Linked DNA regions of Xenopus tropicalis. The protein of the gene in region 2 purifies or fractionates together with the protein of the main gene of each other region. This does not show direct contact. Links are inferred from orthologs where the notes say so. Each region holds a gene or a part of one and is shown on either strand. Other genes may lie near its edges.

What was found. Proteins that work in one complex are often made in the same cells at the same time.
Region 1: the proteins of chchd4 (region 2) and tor1aip1 purify together in Homo sapiens (co-immunoprecipitation; 3 studies listed by BioGRID and IntAct, with this or other methods). This does not show direct contact. The link is inferred for Xenopus tropicalis from reciprocal best matches to the Homo sapiens genes CHCHD4 and TOR1AIP1.

Annotation. Positions count from the first base shown.
Region 1 is NC_030680.2:101,235,544-101,239,200, reverse strand, and holds part of tor1aip1 (torsin-1A-interacting protein 1), read left to right. Parts: intron 1-1,020; coding exon 1,021-1,077; intron 1,078-2,421; coding exon 2,422-3,218; 3' UTR 3,219-3,657. UniProt on the Homo sapiens protein: Required for nuclear membrane integrity. Induces TOR1A and TOR1B ATPase activity and is required for their location on the nuclear membrane. Binds to A- and B-type lamins. Possible role in membrane attachment and assembly of the nuclear lamina.
Region 2 is NC_030680.2:132,948,613-132,952,933, reverse strand, and holds the start of chchd4 (mitochondrial intermembrane space import and assembly protein 40), read right to left. Parts: upstream 2,876-4,321; 5' UTR 2,819-2,875; coding exon 2,797-2,818; intron 1,572-2,796; coding exon 1,473-1,571; intron 1-1,472. Other genes in the region: tmem43 (transmembrane protein 43), read left to right, coding at 3,202-3,213.

The DNA.
Region 1 (3,657 bases), about 32 Mb from region 2:
GTCAAATTGTAGTGATGTAAAATGCTCATGTGGCCGAAGTAATTTTATACAAAGCTTGCTATTCATAAATATCTTCTCTAACCTAATCCTTTACTGGACTTTCTACATACAGCGGTAGTTAAATACACAGGTCACATGAAGTGGTTCTTAGATTAATCCAAAATCATAAGGGACATCTTATGAGTCCAAAGATTTTATTGGCCATTAGTAAGTTTAAAAGTTAGTCTTTGGTAAGTTTAAAAGTTAGTCTTGATAATTAATCAGATTACACAATGGTTTGTATGGCATAAGCCTTATTGAAAACAACACACCGGATGATAGTAAAGCTGGCCATACACCCACCATAATAATCATGTGAAACAAAGTTTTGTACAATTTTTGGACCGTTTGGGGCCCTGAATTATCGGCCTGACAATTTTTGTACCATGACAATCGGTCATTTAGTTGATCAAACAGGTTATGTCGGAAAATTATCATTTTTTTGATGACTGTATCCATTGGTGACCTACAATGTATTTCCGGGACATAACTTTGGCGTGATTGTTGTCTGGCAATTAATGGCCAAAGCATTGTCAGATTAGTTATTTTTAGGATTTTAATGCAACAATTTCTGTCTGGATGTTAGTTTTAGATCATTGCATTAAAATGTACAATCTGGACATGTATGGCTTAACAGTAAATTGCTAACCAACTCAAGGCCATTCAGGTGCTTTATATATTCTGTTAGTGTACACAGTTTATTAAAAAAATGAACACAAAGTAGCATATTTTACTATAAGTAATTCTAGAGCAACTGGACTTGTTGAGTAATCATTGAAGACTGAAGTTGAACTAAAGAAGCTGCTTGATGAGTAGTGAAATGTCTTCAATAATTACTCAACAAGTCCAGTTGCTTTATATTTACTAATACTAGATATACCATGACCTGGATGAATAAAAACCTTCATAGTCATAGCATATTTTAGCTGTTTTTTTAACATTTTGACTTGTGTACTTATTTTTCATATAAATTCATTGCAGACCACAAAAAAGCTGAGAAGAGAAACCAGACAGACAAAAAAGACCTGTCTTCTGACGGTATAGTATTTATCTGTTACGATCTTGACATATTATATGTTTCTGTTATGGCATCTATTTAAACACAGTGTTAATCATTGCACAGCATGAGGATAAGGATACATTTAAAAATTACTTATTTTCAAATAAGTAATTTTCCTATAATCATGTGGATTAATACCCACAATCTGTCCTAACCAAAAGGGAGAACATGTTTTTTACAAAAAGCATCAGTTAATTGCGGTCCTCCAGTAGAAACATGTACCGAAATCTGTTTTTCACACTTGTTTTAATATGAAATTTGACATGAGGCTAACCATTGTGTTAGTGCCCTCAGCCATCTGAGTTGTGCTCTAATAAACTTCAGTATCTCTTTACTGCTACATATTGCATGTTAAGGTGGCCATACATGGGCAGATTTCAGCTGCCAATATTGGTCCTTCAGACATTTGGCTGCTTATCTGCCTGTGTATCGGCACCTCTGATGGGCCTACCCGACCGATATCTGGTCTAAAATTGGCTAGATCTCAATCGGACAGGTTTGATTTTACCATTGGATCAGGGACTACATTGACTCGTTGATCTGGTCCGGCATTTTCATTTTATAAAAGGGCCTATTTCATTTTATAAAAGATGATTCACTCATCAAATGTGTGGCCACTTTAAGAGTGATATCGCCCCCCCATATCAAGAGAACAATGGGGAAGTAATAAGATAACAGTTCACTGACACCTCTGCTGAAGGAAGAACTGATAGCACATCCATGTTTCTTTGCTACTGTCACTGCTTTACTTTGGGCTAATAGCTCTGCTGGTAGAGAAGCTGACACATGGGGCAATGTGCAAAACTACCAATACTGCCCTTTCATTCACTTTAGTTTGATGGCACACTGGGAGAAAGTTGCCCACAGGAAATCTGCTCTACCCATCTCCCCATTATGCAGGGGGTTTATCAGTGCACTGGTAGATTTAATTATGTACCTCACAAGAACCAAACATGAAGTTTTAGTTTTCCTGTTTGACCTGTTTAGCTCAAGAAATAAAAAATACCATACATTTTTTATGATTAATATAATAAGCAAAATTTTTTGCACAAACCTTATTTATTGCACTCATGTAGAACAAAGGGGTTTACTGTCTCTTTTAAACCCCCTTCTGCCTCCAGACCCAGAAGTGCTGCAGAATGTAGAATCTACAGTTGGTATCACTTTAGTACTTAGTACATAGTCTACAGTCTGTGACTGTTAAACAGATGTGTATGAAAGTTATAAAACACAGCAACATAAAACACAGCTATAGTTTCTCTCTAATGATACCTAATATTGTTATTGCAAATAACTTATATATTTGTATTTTTCTTTTGCAGACACGTCATGGTTTTCCAGCGTAATTAAAAACATTTTCCTTATTGTCACACTGGCAGTTGCTGTATTTTTGGCTGCCCAGTATAGCCAGTATGGCGCTTCCAGGAGTAGGAATAATAGTAATGTCCTACAACAGTTCCAGAATCACTTTAATGCACTGAAGTCATCTTATGCTAGTCAGTCTGAAGATCTATGGAAAAGAAGTAGGCGTTCTTTAGAGCTACACCTTAATAAGTCCGAGGCCAACACACAGCCTGCCATCATTTTGCTGACTGCAGCCCGTGATGGAAAGAATATACTTCAGTGCTTAAGCAACCAACTGGCAAGGGTGTATTCGGCCTCTCGTAACAACAGCTATATGGTTATTTCAGGTGCAAACAAAACTTTCCATAACAGTGAGAGTGCTAAACTGGCAATAGATAATATTTTAACTGCTGGCTTCCAAGATACATCTTCAGCAGCAGTTCTGCACCAGATTGAATCATTGCACCCTGGTGCACTTCTCATTCTGTACAAATATTGTGACCATGAGAATGCTGCCTTCAAAAATGTGGCACTAGTATTGACTGTGCTTCTCGAAGATTCAGAACTGGAACCACAACTGTCTCTTACGGAAATTGAGGAAAAAGTCAGAGATTTTATAAATGAGAAGATGGTTTCTTCAAAGAACGCAGAATCACACAGTGAGATGGATGTTGACAAACTAAGTGGCGTGTGGAGTCGAATCTCTCACACAGTGCTCCCTGTTTACCCAGAGGATAACTTTGCAGACTGTGGGGGAACAGAGCAGGGGTTATGAAAGAATAAGTCTATGTTTTACTGGACTATATGTGCTTCTATTATTTATCTTTGCCTGTAAATTTTGTAACTGCTAATTTACATCCTTCATTCCGTCTTTCAGATTATTTGAAGGTTTAGGCCATGGGCACACAGAACGTTTCCTCCACTTCTCTCAGGCAGTGGGAGCTCCCTCATGCAGTACCATTTATCTCCACTGAAAAGTACAGCTTCTGAATGCATGCAGTACACAGAGCAGAAGACGGCTCAAAAATGCCTGCTTTCGCTCTGTGTAGCTGCTCTGAGGAGAAAGCTGTCCTGTCAGTGCAGCTACACAGAGCTGCATAAGGAAGCAGATCCGCTTCTCTCAGCCTGCAGGAAAAACCCAGTCTGACAGAAGTGGAGGAAACACTGTGTGTACCTGGGGCCTAAGGCTGTACATAGGCATTCATAAATGTAAG
Region 2 (4,321 bases):
ATCTAGTTTGGATCCACAGCCTTTCCACATTTAACTGTTTGGAACCATCGGCCACCTGTATGAGAACCACATCCAGATACTGAATAGAAACAAGAGGCAGCAAATAATAAAAGAATACACTGAGCTTGAGTGCTGTATTGTTATGGACTTTATAAAGGTTGGGGGAAAACAAAAACAACCAAATGAATGCTTTAGAAAAAAATGGCAGTAGATCTGTGGGTGTCAGCCCCCAAAGCAATTATACTGGAGAATCAGAATTCAATATCATGTACAATAGTATTCATTGCCTAAAAGACAAAACATGATTGGCCAACAATCCCTATTAGTGAAAATAGCATTAAAAAAAATCAGCAAGTGAAGGGCTAGTTTAACATTCATGGTTTAAAATGGAGACAACAATAGAATTCTAAGGTAATTGGTAGTTTTATAAGTATTAATTAAAACATAACCTTTTTTTTCCTTCTTTGAGACTATATTGATGAATCATGTGAAGCAATAACAATAACTTTGTGAATATGATCAAGTAAAATCATGTACCTCTCTGAAATAATCAAGTTACTCTTCACTAACCTCCTTTTAGCAATCTGTCTCTACATGCAGCTTTGTGTCCGAGTTGGTTATTTTGAAGGAAAGTTAGCTTTATACACTGTCAAGGCAAAGGGAAATATTTGACCTATCGACCAAAATGTGACTGACCCTTGTCTGAATAAAGACAGATTGCTGAGGGGGAGAGTGAACAGTAACTTTTCAGATACAGTACATTATTTTAATTGATTATATCCATCAAGTTCCTTATTTTTCTTGTGATACCTCCCCTTAAAGACCAGCATTGATTATTTGCAGTATGTTATTTGCCTGCTGTTTGCTCTTAAGATGCTGCAGTTCACTCTCCGGCCAGCTGAGGGAGCTAGCACCCCACCACATTACTTTAAACTTCATACTCTGACAAAAATAGGCAATAACAACCTGAAGCCACTGCAGTGCTTCAATATACAAGTGATTAAGACATAATACTTTTTTAAGTATGCCAGTAAATCACTCGTTGTTTAACATTGATAACTACAGTGTGACTTTGCCTTTAATATGTTGATCTGTAGGCATGAAGTAGACCCCAAGAGTGTTGGAGCCAGCACAGCATAAGTATGAGCAGCGTAAGCATGACCGATAGCCCATAAAAAACAATAAAAGAATTAAACGCCCATTCATCTCTAAAGAATGACATGGAAATCTAATACAAACTGATTTCCATAAGACAATATTTTTTTTATACCACTGTTGCACTCATGATGTAGCTCCCATCAGAAATGATGGCGATTTATGTGAAAAGTCTTAAAGCTTCTAAAATTATCTTTTGCACCTATGACCTTGCAGTTGTTGTAGAACAAAGACTCAGCTGATGTAAAGTGCAGGCAACACACTACTATCTATAGCTCAAGCATTATTACACAGCTCACACTCTGGCTCTTACTGACCATGGTCCTCATAAGGGTCATTTGGATCATCTGCGATCAGCTCGGCGCTACTGGGAGTTTCATGGTCCTCCTTGGTTACAAAAATGATTTTGTCCTTTCCTGAAACGTACATGAGAAACAATTAGGCTTTAGAATCACAACAATCCATTCTATTTGGGAACTGTAAATTAAAATAGTTACTATGCTATGATATCTGCACATTGTTTGGTATTAGGAAATTAAAGTTGCTTTGTAAGTTGCTGCAGGAAGGCAAGTGTTTATGTGCTAAAATATCTAGCAATGGTATTCTTGCCATTGTACTAATGAAATAAATGCAGGGTTACAGTAAATACCATATAAAAAAGTTTAATTGCCTTCAAAAATGAACACAGACCAATCAGTATAACACAACTGCAGTCTATTATTTGACATTTCAGCAATAATTGGTTTGATATAAATATATATATTGTACAAATACATAGAATAGCAATCACACTTTTACATTGAATATTACAATGCCCATACCTGGTGCACTCTAACCTTCCAGTTTGTGCCTGTATGTTAGATTGTAAGCTCTACGGAGCAGGGACCTCCTTCCTACTGTGTCTCATACCACATGGCACTTATTCCCTGTGCATTTATATATATTTATTGTATTTATTTATTATATCACTTGTCCTCCCTGTGTGTAATTCTGTATATTGTAAGATTGTACAGCGCTGCATACCCTTGTGGCGCTTTATAAATAAAGTTATACATACATACATAGACATAAACCCTTTGCCCTGATTTTAGAAGCAGAATTCTGCAATAAATAACACATGCTTTATACAATTAAAAGGGATCTATATCCAAATAGAAAGCTAATGTATGCCTATGCCATGCCTTCATAGTTAAACTGCCCCCTGGGTTGCTGACATTGATCTAATGAGCCCAGACGTAGAGAAAATGACTGTTAAATGCTAAAGAGTTCAGAGGAGGACCCTGGGTAAGTTTCCAGTAATCCATTTCCTTGGGTTTAGATCCCCACTAAGAGGCTCAAACAGACATAAGTTCCCAATGACCTTGCAAATAGCGAACTCATTGCAGGCAGCAGAGAGCCTTAGCAGGGGATACTGTCCCTTTAAGGAACTCCGAGGCCAGGTTTTCCCTTGTATAACCCTCAGGGTTCGGTTCCATGCCCAGCCCCTGTGTCCCTGTGCCCTCTGTCACTTTGTGCGGCCTCTCTCCCCTCCAGTTCTCCTTACTGCCAGGCTGCCCCCATTGCAGCTCTTCTCTGGCCCAGTCCCCCTGTGACACAGGCAGCTCGGCTCCCACCCCGTACCCCGGGCACATTCCCACTCACCTTCCTGCCTGCAGTAGGACATGGCTGCAGCTCCACAACACGGCGCCCGGCACAGCACCGCCTGCGCACACCAATCACGTCACACTGCGCGACTCACACAGAGGACCCCGCACATAGGCCTGCCCTCCTAGCTGCCTGACAGTAATTCATAACCTCCACCCTCACCAATTCCACCCTAGTCTCCATGCGTAGTATAGCTCATAGGATATTACTGACAATAAGCGCCACTGAATAGAACCAGGGAGGCGTTAAAAACTACATTTCCCGTGACACTGCGCGGAAGGCCAGCTACGCATGCGCAGAATGTACTGACGTGTCAGGGAGGCAACTTTGTAGCAAGAAGTTCTGGTAGGAGATAAAGTAGAGAGCGTCTGCGGAAAAGTTTATCATCCTAAGGCAGCCAGGATGAAGGGACATGTAAGTGACTTTCATTTCCATATACATCCTGTAACATTACTGTAATAGTAACCCCAAGGTGCCACCATATGTTTTATAGTGTGAAACAAATGCAGTAATAACTGTAGGGCTAAAAAATTGTGTTAATGCCAATTAAGACTCCTAGCCTATTGCACATTGTTCTCATCACATTATCCTTTTATTTATTATTATTATTATTATTATTAATAACATTTATTTACGTTTCCCTTTTTCCCTTTCCCTTTCCCCCTGGTTCATGATGTTGAAAAAAAAAAAATCTTGTAAACATTATAAGTAAAGCTCAGTATTGGTATTGTACTAATGCTAGATTTTGATGCAATCTTGAAAACTTAAATAAAGAGTTTAAAAAAAGTTTGTTAATGTCCAGCACTTCATAGTGCTTGCGCCCCTAACGTACTTTATTAAGCAGACTCTAGTCTACACTAAAAAAAATGGCTTTTCTTGCAGGGTAAGGAACAAGTTCCCCCGCTGCAAAGTTCATGTAGGAGATACTATATAATTCAGTAAAATAGCTTCCAACATAAACAGCTGATGTCCCTCTATAATAAGCAGGGCATATTAATAGTTAAAATGAATAATTAATGTGCTAATAAGTCAGTCAGCTCATTGGGGGCAGTGGAATTTACCTTAAGTTTTTTAATTCATTGGTGGTCAATTGAGTTTGTCTCTGCCCCTGGGAAACAATCTCCCGGGTTTGACAGCTCTGAATATGACACATTTTGTGTCCTGGACTGGCAATTTGTCCATTCTGGCCAATGCCAAAGGGCTGCTGTAAGATGCCATTGATAGTCACTATTAATTGGGCTTGTACTTCAAATCACCTGTACTGACCAATTATGAACTGAGAGCACAAAATGTGCTGCATGGCATGTATTGTTGATTAAAGCACGTATACTACTATGTCTGAGCAATTTCTTTACAAAGTTAATGTTTGGTTACGCCGAGCTTGTGTACTATGCTGAAACATATTTGAATATAAATGCAGCTATGCAGGTAGAAGGCCTCAGAACAGCGCATAATCAGGTTTAAATAAATATTTATAGAAAAATAAATTGAGCAGAATACTTACATATAGGCAGGGTGTGTT